Linked DNA regions of Macaca mulatta. Each later gene encodes a partner of the first gene's protein in a complex. Links are inferred from orthologs where the notes say so. Each region holds a gene or a part of one and is shown in the gene's direction. Other genes may lie near its edges.

Region 1 (7,454 bases):
AAGTGATTCTCCTGCCTCAGCCTCCCTAGTAACTGAGCCCATGCACTGCAGGGCTGGCTATTTAATTCTAAATAGCAACATTCAGGCATTATTCATTATCTAGGGGCTCATTGATATCATCACAGGTTTTAGTTTTTTAAAAACTCTGTCCTTGGTTGGGCACAGTGGCTCCCTGTAATCCCAGCATTTTGGGAGGCTGAGGTGAGAGGATCAATTTATTCCCAGGAGCCTAAGGCTGCAGTGAGCTAGGATCACACCACTGCACCCCAGCCTGGGCAACAGAGCAAGATCCTGTCTAAAGGAACAAAGAAAGCAAGAAATAAACAACACTATGTCCTGAGATTGATTCTTCTCCTGGTTGTAAGGAAGTTCCCAACAGCTCCAGGGGTTACTCCGTTTCCATTCATAATCAAAAGAAAAGAACTTTCCCTCCAAAGGTCCGACTGGATCAACTTAGATCCCAAACCTACTGTGAACAAGTAATGGAATGGACTATTAAAAGGGTAGAGTCAGCTTTCTTAGGACCACAGGGATCAACAGAAGAATATTAGGAACATTTGGAAAGACAAAGGGATCGACGTTGAGAGGGCAACACACAAATATCCATTTTAGCCTTGTTACTCAAATTGATGTGCATAGAGTAGGGGCAGCTTCATCAGCTGAAGGCTTTTTAGAAATGCTGAATTTCAGGCCCCCCCAACAACTGAATCAGATTTTCATTGTAAAGTTTCCAGGCCAGGCGTGGTGGCTCAAACCCGAAATCCCAGCACTTTGGGAGGCCAAGGCAGATGGATCATCTGAGGTCATGAGTTCGAGACCAGCCTAGCTAACATGGTGAAACCCCATTTCTACTAAAAATACAAAAAATTAGCCGGGTGCAGTGGCATGTACCTGTAATTCCATCTACTTGGGAAACTTAGGCAGGAGAATCATTTTAACCCAGGAGGCAGAGGTTGCAGTGAGCTGAGATCATGCAATTGCACTCCGGCTTGGGCAACAAGAGTGAAACTTTGTCTCAAAAATAAATAAATAAATAAATAATAAAGTTTCCCCAGGTGAGTCCTACACACATTAAACTTTGATAAATATTGTCCTTTTTTCTTCTTCTTTTTTTGAGACTGAGTCCTGTTCTTTTGCCAGGCTGGAGTGCAGTGGCACGATCTCCACTCACTGCAACCTCCGTCTCCCGGGTTCGAGCAATTCTTCTGCCTCAGTCTCCCGAGTAGCTGGGACTACAGGCATGCGCCACCATGCCCAGCTAATTTTTGTATTTTTAGTAGAGATGGGGTTTCACCATGTTGACCAGGATGGTCTCAATCTCTTGACCTCGTGATCTGCTCATCTTGGCCTCCCAAAGTGCTGAGATTACAGGCGTGAGCCACCATGCCCGGCCGATAAGTATTGTCTTACAATATCTAAGAGTTCTGTTGAGCAGAGGTGAAGTCTGGACTAGAGATATAAATTCAAGTTATGGTTTTGGAGGAGATTACCAGGTTAAAAGAAAAAGTATACATAAAGGGACTACAGCTGCAAGCCGGGAAGCACTCTGACATGTATTGGCTCCATAGAGAAGGAGGAGCCAGCTAAGGAGATTTAGAAAGAGTAGTTAGAGGCTGGGCATGGAGGCTCTGGGCCTGTAAACCCAGCACTTTGGGAGGCCACGGCAGTGGAATCTCTTGAGCCCAGGGGTTGGATACTAGCCTGGGCAACATAGTAAGACCTCTTCTCTACGAAATAAAAAATAAAATATTAGCTGGGCATGGTGGCATGCACTTGTGGTCCCAGCTACTGAGAAGGCTGAGGCAGGAGGATTGCTTGAGTCCAGGAGGATCGGTCAAGGCTGCAGTGAGCCCTGATTGTGCCATTGCACTCCAGCCTGGGCAACAGAGCGACAGACCTTGTCTAAAAACAAAACAAAACAAAACAAACAAGAGTAGTTAGTGGGATAAGGAAAAAGGCCAGGTGAGCTTGGCATCCTGAAACCTGAAAGAGGTAAGGGGAGTGTTTGTGTTAAATCTTGATGAAGTTCACACCTGTAATCCTAGCACTTTGCACTTTGGGAGGCCTAGAGAGGCAGATCACTTGAGGTCAGGAGTTCAGGTCATCCTGGCCAACATGGGGAAACCCTGTCTCTACTAAAAAGACAATAATTAGCGGGGCGTGGTGATTCCCCCCTGTAATCTCAGTTACTGGAGAGGCTGAGGCACGAGAATCGCTTGAACCGGGGAGGCAAGGGTTGCAGTGAGCCAAGATCGTGCTACTGCACTCCAGCCTGGGCGACAGAAGGAGACTCTGTCTCAGAAAAACAATAAAAAATTTTGAGGAGATGTTGTGAAAGATGAAGATTGAAAAGTTTGTCTTATAGATCGGAACTTAAAGTGAAAATAATCCGCTACATTGTGTGATTTTATTTTTTTATTTTTATTATTTTTTGAGACGGAGTCTCGCTCTGTTGCCAGGCTGGAGTGCAGTGGCGCGATCTCGGCTCACCGCAACCTCCGCCTCCTGGGTTCAAGCGATTCTCCTGCCTCAGCCTCCCGAGTAACTGGGACTACAGGCGTGTGCCACCACGCCCAGCTAATTTTTGTATTTTTAGTAGAGACAGGGTTTCACCATGTTGGCCAGCACGGTCTTGATTTCTCGACCTCGCTATCTGCCCGCCTCGGACTCCCAAAGTGCTGGAATTACAGGCGTCAGCCACAGCGCCCGGCCCATTGTGTGAATTGCTTCAGGTACATTAAGTAATGCTAAGGTTCCTGGCGTTGGAACAGAATTAGCATAATCCTTTGGGCTTCTCTAAGAACTTATTTTCGTTCAGTGAGGAATTTATATTAGGTGCTGCACTCACGGTGCCCTGCTATTCAGAAACGTGATGGTGACAGTACGTGTGTGTGTGTGCGCGCGCGCGCGCGCGACGGAGTTTCGCTCTTGTTGCCCAGGCAGGAGTGTAGTGGTGCGATCTCGGCTTACTGCAACCTCTGCCTCCCGGGTTCAAGCGATTCTCCTGCCTCAGCCTCCCGAGTAGCTGGGATAACAGGCGCCCGCCACCACATCCGGCTAATTTTTTGTATTTTTAGTACAGACGCGGGTTTCACCCTATTGGCCAGGCTGGTCTTGAACTCCTGACCTCAGGTGATACCCCCGCTTCGGCCTCCCAAAGTGCGACAGTCCTATTAATTGGATTTAATCTCTTCGAATCTCCCTCTCTTGTGGGACACTTTTCCTCTTAGACCAGCCCTCAACACCCTCAGTCGTGGCAAGGCAACCTCCAGCCGCCAGGGGCCGCAGTCGCGCTCCTCGCGACCGGAAGAGAGTGCGGCCCAGCGCAGCCTCGGCGTTTCCGCCGTGCGTCTGCTGTGCTCCGCGCGCCCTTTACGACCGGAGTCCCTGGAGTAGGCGCTTCCGGCCATTCATACTGCAGTCGGTCAGTATTCGGTTGTTGGATTCTGTGCGCTCTCGGACCCGAAGGGTGACGGCGCCGCTAGGATGAAGCTCGTGAGGTGAGGGAGTGACCAAGCAGCTCCGGGGGCTGTGGAGGGAGGGCTTGGCCCGGAGTCCGGAAGGCTGGGCTCTCCCATTTGCAGGAGGCGGGAAAGCCGCGTGTGCGCGGCCTGCTAACGGCCGGCCTTACTGCGCCCGCAGCTCGTGCTCGGGCCTGGGCTTCCGCCTGGGTCGCTCGCGAATCCCGCGTGTCTTCCAAGATACTGGTATAAAGGCCGAGCCTTTTCTTCCCGCCTAGTGACTTAGAGACTTTCAAGGTACAGCGCCGCCTGGGAGACATCTCGCCCTTACAGTTACTGATTTTCTTTTTGAGTGGAGCTCCAGCCCTACTTAAGAGTACTTAGAAAGCTGTATGAGCTTATCTGGAAACAAACCTGTTTGCAAACTGTTTTAAATCAGAGAAGGACTTCTGGCTTCACAAGTTTTTGTTTTTGTTTTTGTTTTAAATAAGACGGTGTCTCACTTTGTTGACCAGGCTGGTCTCGAACTCCTGGGCTAAAGCGTTCTGCCTGCCTTGCCCTCCCAAAGGGCTGAGATTACCGGTGTGAGCCACTGCGCCCGGCCGATTTTTAAGTTTATCTTTTGATTCTCCTTAGACTTATGATTGATTATTCTACCTCTTTCCTGTTAAGGTAAGCTTTTTATTTAGGAAAATCTCCCAATATAGGGCAGAAATTATCACAACGTAATTGTGGCTGATTACCCAGATGATATATAGTTATTCTGTTTTATTTCTTTCGCGAGAAATAGACCCTGTCACTTAGGTGAGTCTTCTGGAGACTAATTCCAAACTACCTGCGAGTAGATTTGGTTTTGGTCTTTTTCCTTGAGACTGAGCCTGGAACAGAGGCAGACGTTTCTAATAACTAAGCCATCGATTATAAATATTTAGCTTGTTTCTTTCCTGTTGAGTCAAGGATTGTCATTATCCGCTAAATAGTTATTGGGCACCTGTTACCTACTGGGCGCTGGTAATAGTATTTTTTAAAAGGCAGATCCTTGTTGGAGCTTTCTAGTTAGGGGGATGACAGACAAGTAGATAACGTCTGAAATAACGTTTGTTTGAAACGTTTTAAATAACACATAAAAGCCTTCAATATTCAGGGAGGAGGCCAGGCGCAGTGGCTCACGCCTATAATCCCAGCACTTTGGGATGTCAAGGCGGGCAGATCACTAGGTCAGGAGTTCGAGACCAGCCTGACCAACATGGTGAAACCCCGTCTCTACTAAAATTACAAAAATTGGCCGGGCGTGGTGGCGCGCGCTTGTAATCCCAGCTACTGAGGAGGCTAAGGCAGGAGAATCGCTTGAACCCAGGAGGCAGAGGTTGCAGTGAGCTGAGATTGGCCACTACGCTCCAGCCTGGGCAACAGAGCGAGACTCCGTTGCAAAAATAAAAAAATAAAAAATAAAAAATTCAGGGAGGAGTTGGTACAAAAGACAATTAAGATTAATTTTTGTTGTATTTTTATTTGAACTATAATTTTGGATAGGAAGTCATAGAATTTAAAGTGCATTTTTTAGGCTGGACGCGGTGGCTCACGCCTGTAATCCCAGCACTTTGGGAAGCTGAGGCAGGCGGATCGCCTGAAGTCAGGAGTTCAGGACCTGCCTGGCCAACGTGGTGAAACCCCGTCTTTCGAAAAAATACAAAAATTAGCCGGGCGCCTGTAATCCCAGCTACTCAGGAGGCTGAGGTAAGAGAGGCGCTTGATCCCGGGAGGTTGTAGTGAGCCGACGTCACACCACTGTGCTCCAGCCTGGGCAACAGAGCGAGACTCTGTCTCAAAAAAGAAAATTACAACATTTTTTGAAATTTCTCCATACCAGCCGGGCGCGGTGGCTCAAGCCTGTAATCCCAGCACTTTGGGAGGCCGAGACGGGCGGATCACGAGGTCAGGAGATCGAGACCATCCTGGCTAACGCGGTGAAACCCCGTTTCTACTAAAAATACAAAAAACTAGCCGGGCGAGGTGGCGGGCGCCTGTAGTCCCAGCTACTCCGGAGGCTGAGGCAGGAGAATGGCGTGAACCTGGGAGGCGGAGCTTGCAGTGAGCTGAGATCCGGCCACTGCACTCCAGCCTGGGCTTCAGAGCAAGACTCCGTCTCAAAAAAAAAAAAAAAAAAAAAAAAAAAGAAATTTCTCCATACCTGCTAATCTGAATCTTAATCTACTCATAGTTCAATTTTATGTAATACACCTTGGATTTCATTTGTTCCCTTTAAATATATTGCATGTTATGGCAATTTTCCAGTAATTTTTAATACCTGGACTGAATCCTGTTTTGTGTCTTAGGTCAAATATAGAAAGAAAATTTTTTTCTTACCAGAGAATGTATTTTTCCTCCAGAAAATGATTGTTTGACTAACTGGTTTGCGTTTTCAGTAGACTTATTTCTGTATATCAGTTGGTAGTTGTCATCCTTATTCTCACTGTCACCCTAACCAAAAACCTGGGAGGTGAGCTTGACTTTTTCTCTACTGATGTCCTTGACATTTGATACACTGCCAGTTTTACCTACTGCATAAAAGTGTCCCACATTTTCCTGTTTGTTTTTTGGGTTCAGATAGTGTGTTTTGATACTGAGGGACACCGTGTTATCTGACTATTTGATATCTAAGTTTCACTAAGTAGAAAGAATTCAGATACTGAAAGATTCGTCTGAAAATAAGTTGAATCCATTTGGTTCCTGGGTTCAGTTAGGGAGGGATAATTGTGTATTTGTCCTGCCCATAGTAGCCTCCTTTCGTTCTGGTCACCACCATTGAGGTTCAGGCCCTTTTTATCCCACTCATGGATTTTTGTTTTCCTTCTTTGAGGTAAATATCTTTTTTTTTTTTTTTTTTTTGAGACGGAGTCTCGCTCTGCCGCCCAGGCTGGAGTGCAGTGGCGGATCTCAGCTCACTGCAAGCTCCGCCTCCCAGGTTCACGCCATTCTCCTGCCTCAGCCTCCCGAGTAGTTGGGACTACAGGCGCCCGCCACCGCGCCCGGCTAGTTTTTTGTATTTTTTAGTAGAGACGGGGTTTCACCGTGTTAGCCAGGATGGTCTCGATCTCCTGACCTCGTGATCCGCCCGTCTCGGCCTCCCAAAGTGCTGGGATTACAGGCTTGAGCCACCGCGCCCGGCCGAGGTAAATATCTTAATACAATGAAATGCAGCGTATATTTCCTGCTATTGAAAAACATAAGCACTTTTGTAACCTAAACCCCTATCAAGAGAAGTAACATTACCAAAACCTCAGTTTCCTCAAGCCTTTCCCAGGCAACCTCTGACTCCATACCCCTAGATGCAACCAATTTCTTCCACCATACATGAATTTTGCCTGCACTAGAATTTCATGTATTTGGAATCACAAAGTATTTTTGTGTAAAACTCCTTTTACTCACATGTTTTTGAGATTCATCCACATTGTGAAGTGTATCAGTGATGTGTTCATTTTTATTACTGGGTATTAGTACCTTGTACGTTTGGAAGTTCTGTATTTTAGGCTGGGCACAGTGACTCATGTCTGTAATCCCAGCACTATGGGAGGCTGAGGCGGGTGGATCACTTGAGGTCAGGAGTTTGAGACCAGCCTGAGCAACATGGTGAAACCCTGTCTCTACTAAAAATACCAAAACAGTAGCTGGGCGTGGTGGCAGGGCCTGTAATCCCAGCTACGAGGGAGGCTGAGGCCAGAGAATCCCTTGAACCTGGGAGGTGGAGATTGCAGTGAGCTGAGATCGCACCATTGCACTCCAGCTTGGGCAACAGAGCGAGACTCCTTTCAAGAAAAAAAAGCTCTTTATTTTAAAAAATTACAAGAAAAGAAAATAAATAAAAACTTACGTATTTTGTTTACAACAACGTTGAATATTCTTCAGGTTTTTGGAGGGAAATAAACTTGTGGGTGAATACGTAAGAGTGGAGTTGATGGACTGTAGCATAGTTGTTATGTGTTTAGCTTTATG
Region 2 (7,495 bases), on another chromosome or scaffold:
AGAAGGGGGTTTTGATTGTGATATATACTAGTATCTAGGAATGAACAGTAAAAGAGGAGCAGTTGGCTACTTTATTACAACAGAGTAATGAAGTACTGGATTTGGAAAAACCTGGTTTTATTAGAACAGATGGAATGAAAGCCTAAACCTAACATTGCCTACTTAGCCCCCTGAATTAACAGAGCCCAATTGAGACAAACCCCTGACAATAGGAATTCAAGGGAGAAAAAGTAAGCAACTTGGGCTAGGATGAGCTGACTCCCTTAGAGCAAAGGAGAGGCAGCCCCCATTACCAAATACCATTTTTGTCTGGGGCTTGTGCAGCTGGCAGTGTTCCTGCCCTGGCGTGGCAACTTACTGTTTTGATAGCAACTTCGTTGTATTTTCACCAACTTATTACTTGAAATTATAGCCTGTCCATTTGCTGTTTCTAGGCTGTGACATATTTTCTTAGTGGTTTGGTTTTAAAAATAAATAAGGTTTAATTTTCTCCCCACTATTGTGTTTTCTTTCCTTATATCTGGGCAGTGAATATATAACTTTCTCAGGATGCTTCTCCTTTTAAAAGGTTAAATGAGTTTAAAATGTCCAGAAGAGCAGAAATTAGTTGTTATGGTTCAGATTCAGAACTGGTTCATTGTAAACGGGAAAAACTTTGAGAGGAGACTAGGACATTGTGACTCGAAGTTCATTAATGTAGAAAAGAAATTATCTATGAGGCTAAAAAGAGAAATTCATTATCTATGTCAGTCTCTAGCTTCAACTAAACACTAATAGCAAGTGGTAGTAAAGGTACAAAGCTATGACCCTGCTAGAAAAAAATAGAGTGTCTAAGATTTTGAGTACTAAGAGAGTGCAAAATATGTGATGAGTTTAAGTCTTTACTATCATTGGTATTTAAATAGAGTCATTCCAGAATATCAGGAATTAACTGAATTTTTGAGAACCATCCCCTATTTAAAATCAACACGGCATTCTATTTTGGTTTAGTCTTCTATAATCCGTGCATTCTCCTATTTTGGGGTAACATAACTGGGAACAAGTCCGAGGCCACTTTTTACACATCTTGACATGAAAAAGGAATACCTTGTATTAGAGAATGTTTGTGTGCTGCACTTCACGTTTTATATACGGGGCAATGGCACATCAGTGAGTTCTGGAGGTAATGTTTGAAAAATTGCAGAACTGCCAGGCATGCTGGCTCATGCCTGTAATCTCAGCACTCTGGGAGCTGGAGGCAGGCGGATCTCTTAAGGCCAGGAATTCGAGAACAGCCTGGGCAACAAAGCAAGACGTCGTCTCTACAAAAAAAAAAAAAAAAAAAAAAAAAAAAAAAAAAAATTAGCTGGGTGCAGTGGCTTGCGCCTGTAGTCTAAACAACTCAGGAGGCTGAGGTGGGAGGATTGATTGAGGCCAGGGGTTCGAGGTTGCAGTGAGCCATGATCACATCATGCATCCCAGCCTGGGTGACAGAGCAAGACCTCATCTCAAAACAAAAAAAAATTTTTTTTTGCAAGACCCATCAGTCGGAAATAGATTGAAATTCTTGGAGACAGGCCCAGTCACCTTACTCTCCAAATGGTGCAGAGGCTGCTAATTTGCATGTTACCGGAACCCTACTTGGTCTGAAAGTATGCTGTAGGATACCTGCCAAAGAAATATAGAGGCCCGGCTGGGCGCGGGTGGCTCACGCCTGTAATCCTGGCACTTTGGGAGGCCGAGGCGGGCGGATCATGAGGTCAGGAGATCCAGACCATCCCAGCTAACACAGTGAAACCCCATTTTTACTAAAAATACAAAAAATTAGCCGGGCGTGGCGGCGTGTGCCTGTAGTCCCATCTACTCAGGAGGCTGAGGCAGGAGAATGGCGTGAACTCAGGAGGCGGAGCTTGCAGTGAGCCGAGACCGAGCCACTGCACTCCAGCCTGGGGGACAGAGCGAGACTGTCTCAGAAAAAAAAAAGAAATATAGAGGCCCATTCCTCCAGGGATCATTATTTGGTATTTTGGTTTAGATGAAGAAAACAAGCGATACGATCCACAGACATGCGGGATTTGCCGGGTTTGCCCAGAAGTTAGAGAGGGGACTGTTATCTCAGTATTTCAATTTTATTTTTTAAATAGAGGAGGGGGTCTCCCTATGTTGCCCAAGCTGGTCTCGAACTCCTGGGCTCAAGAGATCCAAAGTTCTGGGATTTACGGCGCCAGGCTTTTTTTTTTTTTTTTTTTTTTTTTTTTTTTTTTTTGGCTGTTCCATAGACAAGAACACGGATACTCCATCGTCAGAATACCCGTTATCTCAATTTTGCCCAAGGAAAACCGAATTTAGAAAGGTGCCTAGAGGGCCCACCCCTCTGTCCTGGCCAATAGCTGACGACGCAACCGGAAGCTCAGCAATGACCGAGGCGCTCAGATATCGCGATGTGAAGTGTTAAAAACTGCCAACAATCGATTGGCTAACTAGGTCGATGACGCCAAACGCAAGACGCCGGGCCTACCGCGGGAGCCTGAGGGAAGCCGTGCATTCAGTTCCAAGGCGTCTGTGAGTCCGCGGAGTATACGCCATGAGCAAAGCTCACCCTCCCGAGTTGAAAAAGTAAGTATGTGTGAGAGCCAAACCGAAGTGGTCGCTTCTTTGCGTCCCCCGAGTCCCTTGGTGTTTCAAGCCGAATGGCTTGAGCCGCTTCACCTTATTTCTTCTTCCGGTCCGAGGTCGCCGGCATCCCGGCCAGGCTCCGGCTCATGAGACGTGAAGCCCGCGCAGAGCTCGCGCATTGGCGTGGTTACCGCCGGCAGCCACCGCACCTCCTTCTGGCCGACTAGTCTCTCTGTCCCGCGCTCCGGCCCCTAGTCACCCGGCGCTGTCCCTCGTTCCTTGAAGATCTCCAATGCCAGCTTTTGTTGAACATCTCTAATAGCATCATATTCTAGATAGACGGCTAGAGGGGGAAATTCTCTAAAGGAACTAAGGAGGGGATGGAAGGGAAGTGTTTTTAAAACTACGTGAGGCATCGGAATCCAAAAGCCACTTTAGCCTTAGAGAATGTGTTTGTAGGTGTTTCTTTGAGCTTTTACTTAGAAACCTCATTCTTTTTTGTTGCCTATTTTTACATTAAGCTTGAATGTCATGTGTTATCTTGCTCTGATATTGAAACTATGTAAGAACATTCATTTCTAAAATTAATGTTCTAAAAAATAAAATTTTTTTTAGAACATTAATTTTTTTCTAATCAGAGAAGGCTAATTTTTTTAAGTTTCTTTTACACACCCAGTAAAGACAAACAACTTTAAGGAGGAGAGCCTTAATTTATGTAGGACTCAACGTAAAACTTTAAACTCCTCAAATACTTTTTGACTGGACTTAACAGGTTATGTGTTTCCTCAGTACGTCTCTGTTTTGCTTGTACTCCCTGATGCTGGAATTCTACATGTATTTATTGGATTGCACAGAGGATGCAAAATTTTTACAGGAATCAATTTTTTCTGGTGTAGCATGTGGTTGGCTTTGTGTATAGTTCATTTATTACCAGGCCCCTGGAAGTCAGACATAAGGAAAAGTTCCTATTTAATAATTTTGCGGCCAGTGGCGGTGACTCACGCCTGTAATCCCAGCACTTTGGGAGGCCAAGGTGGGTGGATCACCTGAGGTCAGGAGTTCGAGACCAGCCTGGCCAACATGGTGAAACCCCCCGTCTCTACTAAAAATACAAAAAATTAGCCAGGAATGGTGGCACGCGCCTGTAGTCTCAGCTACTCGGGAGGCTGAGGCAGGAGAATCGCTTGAACCCGGGAAGTGGAGGCTGCAGTGAGTCAAGATCTAGCAATTGCCCTCCAGCCTGGGCAACAAGAGCGAAACTCTGTTTCAAATAATAATAATATTGCATTTAAAGGTATATTTGTATCAAAGCCATCTTTTGTATGAAAACTACTTTCATGTATATTTTAGTTAGGTCTGTTAAGGAATTAATTATTAAAACATAGCCCAACGTTAGAAAAATAGAAGTTAGAAATTATTGTGAAAATTACTCTTTTTATCTGAAAGTTATTTTATTGGTGAGTTGGTGATGTAAGTATCCTCTGGATTCATCAGGGACTGGTGAAATGGTGATTTTTCTTTTTTTAAACAAAAGCACCATTCTCTACTTGTAATCTAAGATTTTATTTGTGATTCATAACATAGTTTTTGAAAATTTCAGAGAAGGAAGCTAGTTTTAATACCTTTCTCTTCTCATCCATAGGTTTCATGAATTGTGAAATCCCGTGAGATCTGCCGTCAAAATGACTTTCAAATTTTTTCTTTCTTTGCTTTCTCACTGATAGCATCTTCTTTTACACCATTATGCCCTCCTTCTGGCTTAGCGTAACTCAGGGGTTCTTAAATGGGGGGTAAGGAATCTGGTGACACCAGGGATGCTGCTAAACATCCTACCGTTATTCGGCTGCCCCCAACAATACAAAATTACCTGGTCCCAAGTGTCATTAGTGCAGAAGTTGAGATACACTGGCTTAACCGAATTCTTCCTTCCACTTCTTAAAATTTGCTGCCACAGTGGTCTTGCCAGTGACAGCTTTAATAATTTATCACAGTATGCAAAACTGAATCTATACTTAAGCCAGCATTCAAACGCCAAACCTTACAGCTGCTAATACTCACGTGTTCTCTTCTCCAGTCAGACTGAACTATTTGTGTTTGCTCTCACTTGCTGTGTGACTTCGAAAAATTGATTTACCTTTTCCAAGCCTAGTTCTCCATCTGTAAAAACGGTAGAAATGACAGACCATAATTGCATGCAAAGTCATTGTAAAGATTGTATAAGATCTTGTGTTATATTTGATATGTTTTATGTATCTTATTAAAATAGTTTTGTTCATCATACTTCATAAATGTGTGTATATATTATATATAATATGTAATATATATTACATATATAATTTTACATATAATATTACATATATATTACTTTTTTTTATATATATACATATATATATATATATATTTTTTTTTTTTTTTTTTTTTTTTTTTTGAGATGGAGTTTCACTCTTAATTCCCAGGCTGGAGTGCAATGGTGCAATCTCGGCTTACCGCAACCCGTGCCTCCCGGGTTCAAGCAATTCTCCTGCCTCAGCCTCCCGAGTAGCTGGGACTACAGGCATGCACCACCACACCCGGCTAATTTTTTTTTTTTTTTTTTTTTTTTTTTTTTTTTTTTTTTTTAGTAGAGACGGGGTTTCTCCATGTTCATGTTCATCAGGCTGGTCTTGAACTCCCGACCTCAAGTGATCCACCTGTCTCAGCCTCCCAAAGGGCTGGGATTATAGGCATGAGCCACTGCACATGGCCCATAAATATATTTTCACTTGTAAATGTATCTACTCCCTCCTTCAGTCATGCTCCTTGTTTTATATTTACATTCTCCCATGATAATCCTATACATTAAAATTGACTAAGTTCCCCACTTCATGGCCCATATACTAAACTTTTTTTTTCCATTTTTTTATATTTTAAAATTTGAATGAAATTTCATGTTTTCTGGCCTATAAATGGAAGAGGTTAAAAACTGGTTTGACTGATGGCTTAGTATTCTCGTATTCCACTAAAATAGAATTTTCTTTTAATTCATATTGTTTGAAGTTTCAAATGTGCATTTATTATACTAAAGTATACTTAAATGTTGAAGACTACCCTGAACATTTATGCTTGATGCTTTAATATTAAATGAACACTATTTATCTCAAATATAAAATACTTGTTGAATTGGATATGATTTGATTACTGTTTGCTGTCTTTACAACTTAGTTTTGGAAATAACCAAATGTAGGCAAGTCTTTGTTTTTCTCTTATGACTATAAAATCCAATCATTGAAAATTAGGTTAGCGAGACCAGATGTGGTAGCTCATGCCTGTGTAATCCCAGCAGCACTTTAGGAGGCTGAGGGGGAGCATATTTTTTGAGGCCAGGAATTCAAGACCAGGTTGGCAACATAGTGAGACTCCATCTCTTTAAAAAAAAGAAAAAGAAAGAAAGAAACTTCGGTCAATGAAACAACATAGTATTGAACAATAAGAATGTTTTCATAATTCACATTAGTATATGTAGATTAATATAGTTTTTTTTTTTTTTTTTTTTTTTTTTTTTTTTTTTTTTTTTTTTTTTGAGACGGAGTCTTGCTCTGTCGCCCAGGCTGGGGTGCAGTGGCCGGATCTCAGCTCACTGCAAGCTCCACCTCCCGGGTTTACGCCATTCTCCTGCCTCAGCCTCCCGAGTAGCTGGGACTACAGGCGCCCGCCACCTCGCCCGGCTAGTTTTTTGTATTTTTTAGTAGAGATGGGGTTTCACCGTGTTAGCCAGGATGGTCTCGATCTCCTGACCTCGTGATCCACCCGTCTCGGCCTCCCAAAGTGCTGGGATTACAGGCTTGAGCCACCGCGCCCGGCCAGATTAATATAGTTTAAATATATTTCATTTTTATTGTCTTTCCTCTTCCCAAGTTACTTTGCGTTGTAGAATGTCTAATTTAGGTAACCCTTTATGCCCCCTCTCTTTTTTTTTTTAACCTGAGACAGGGTTTCACTCTACTGCCCAAGCTGGAATGCAGTGGCGCATTCATGGCTCACTGCAGACTCAACTTCGCAGGCTCCAGTGATTCTCCGACCTCAGCCTCCTAAAGTGCTGGGGTTACAGGCATGAGCTACCTCGCCCTACTCCCTCACTCTGTACAGCAATACAGTATTTTTACTATTTTAAATTTCATTATTCCCATTGTATAAATTTTAGCAAATTATCTTAACTGTACCTATTTATGTACTTGTTTATGCTTAAATTTTTTTAATTGGTTATATAATCTTTACCCTTTTCCTTTTTCAGATTTATGGACAAGAAGTTATCATGTAAGTTTGTTGTTGTTTTGGAGTTTTTTTAAATCATTCAGTTGCTTTTTACGTGTGTCTTAGCAATATGTTTGGAGCAACTTTATAAAAATTTAAAGCACACAGGACCTCTAATTCACATCCATTAATTAAACAGATTACTTAATCCTAACTTGACAATTTTATTTACCTAATTTCTGATATTGAATTAATTTAACAGCACTTCAGACTTTTATCTTATATAAGCCTTTCCTCACTCTGGCAAAATTAACAGGATTTATCAACCTTTTTTCTTTAAACAAGCTACAAAGGACTTAGACAAGAAACAATTATTTTGTTTCTTGGGAATATGTAGGAATAACAGATTTGTTCAATTTATCTAAAAATCTGACCCACGCAGTACTTGAAATATATGTAGGGGAAAAAAACCGTGAGTGTTAGAAGCAAGCAGCCTTCAGCTTGAGTCTCACTTCTACCATACAGTAGCTGTATAACCATGAACCCAGTTACTTAAAAGCTTGGGCACGGTGGCTTACACCTGTAATCCCAGCACTTTGGGAAGCCAAAGCAGAAGGATCCCTTGAGCTCAGGAGTTGGAGACCAGCCTGGGCAACATAGGGAGCCCCCA

Evidence for each region.
Region 2: SNRPD1 (region 1) and SNRPG share a complex: the UniProt entries of both Homo sapiens proteins name them as parts of the SMN-Sm complex. The link is inferred for Macaca mulatta from reciprocal best matches to the Homo sapiens genes SNRPD1 and SNRPG.

Annotation. Positions count from the first base shown.
Region 1 is NC_133423.1:70,795,992-70,803,445, reverse strand, and holds the start of SNRPD1 (small nuclear ribonucleoprotein Sm D1), read left to right. Parts: upstream 1-3,378; 5' UTR 3,379-3,486; coding exon 3,487-3,500; intron 3,501-7,454. UniProt on the Homo sapiens protein: Plays a role in pre-mRNA splicing as a core component of the spliceosomal U1, U2, U4 and U5 small nuclear ribonucleoproteins (snRNPs), the building blocks of the spliceosome.
Region 2 is NC_133418.1:54,434,748-54,442,242, forward strand, and holds the start of SNRPG (small nuclear ribonucleoprotein G), read left to right. Parts: upstream 1-2,475; 5' UTR 2,476-2,563; coding exon 2,564-2,595; intron 2,596-2,711; exon of another isoform or gene 2,712-3,042; coding exon of another isoform or gene 3,043-3,050; intron 3,051-4,237; exon of another isoform or gene 4,238-4,338; coding exon of another isoform or gene 4,339-4,385; intron 4,386-6,865; coding exon 6,866-6,888; intron 6,889-7,495. UniProt on the Homo sapiens protein: Plays a role in pre-mRNA splicing as a core component of the spliceosomal U1, U2, U4 and U5 small nuclear ribonucleoproteins (snRNPs), the building blocks of the spliceosome.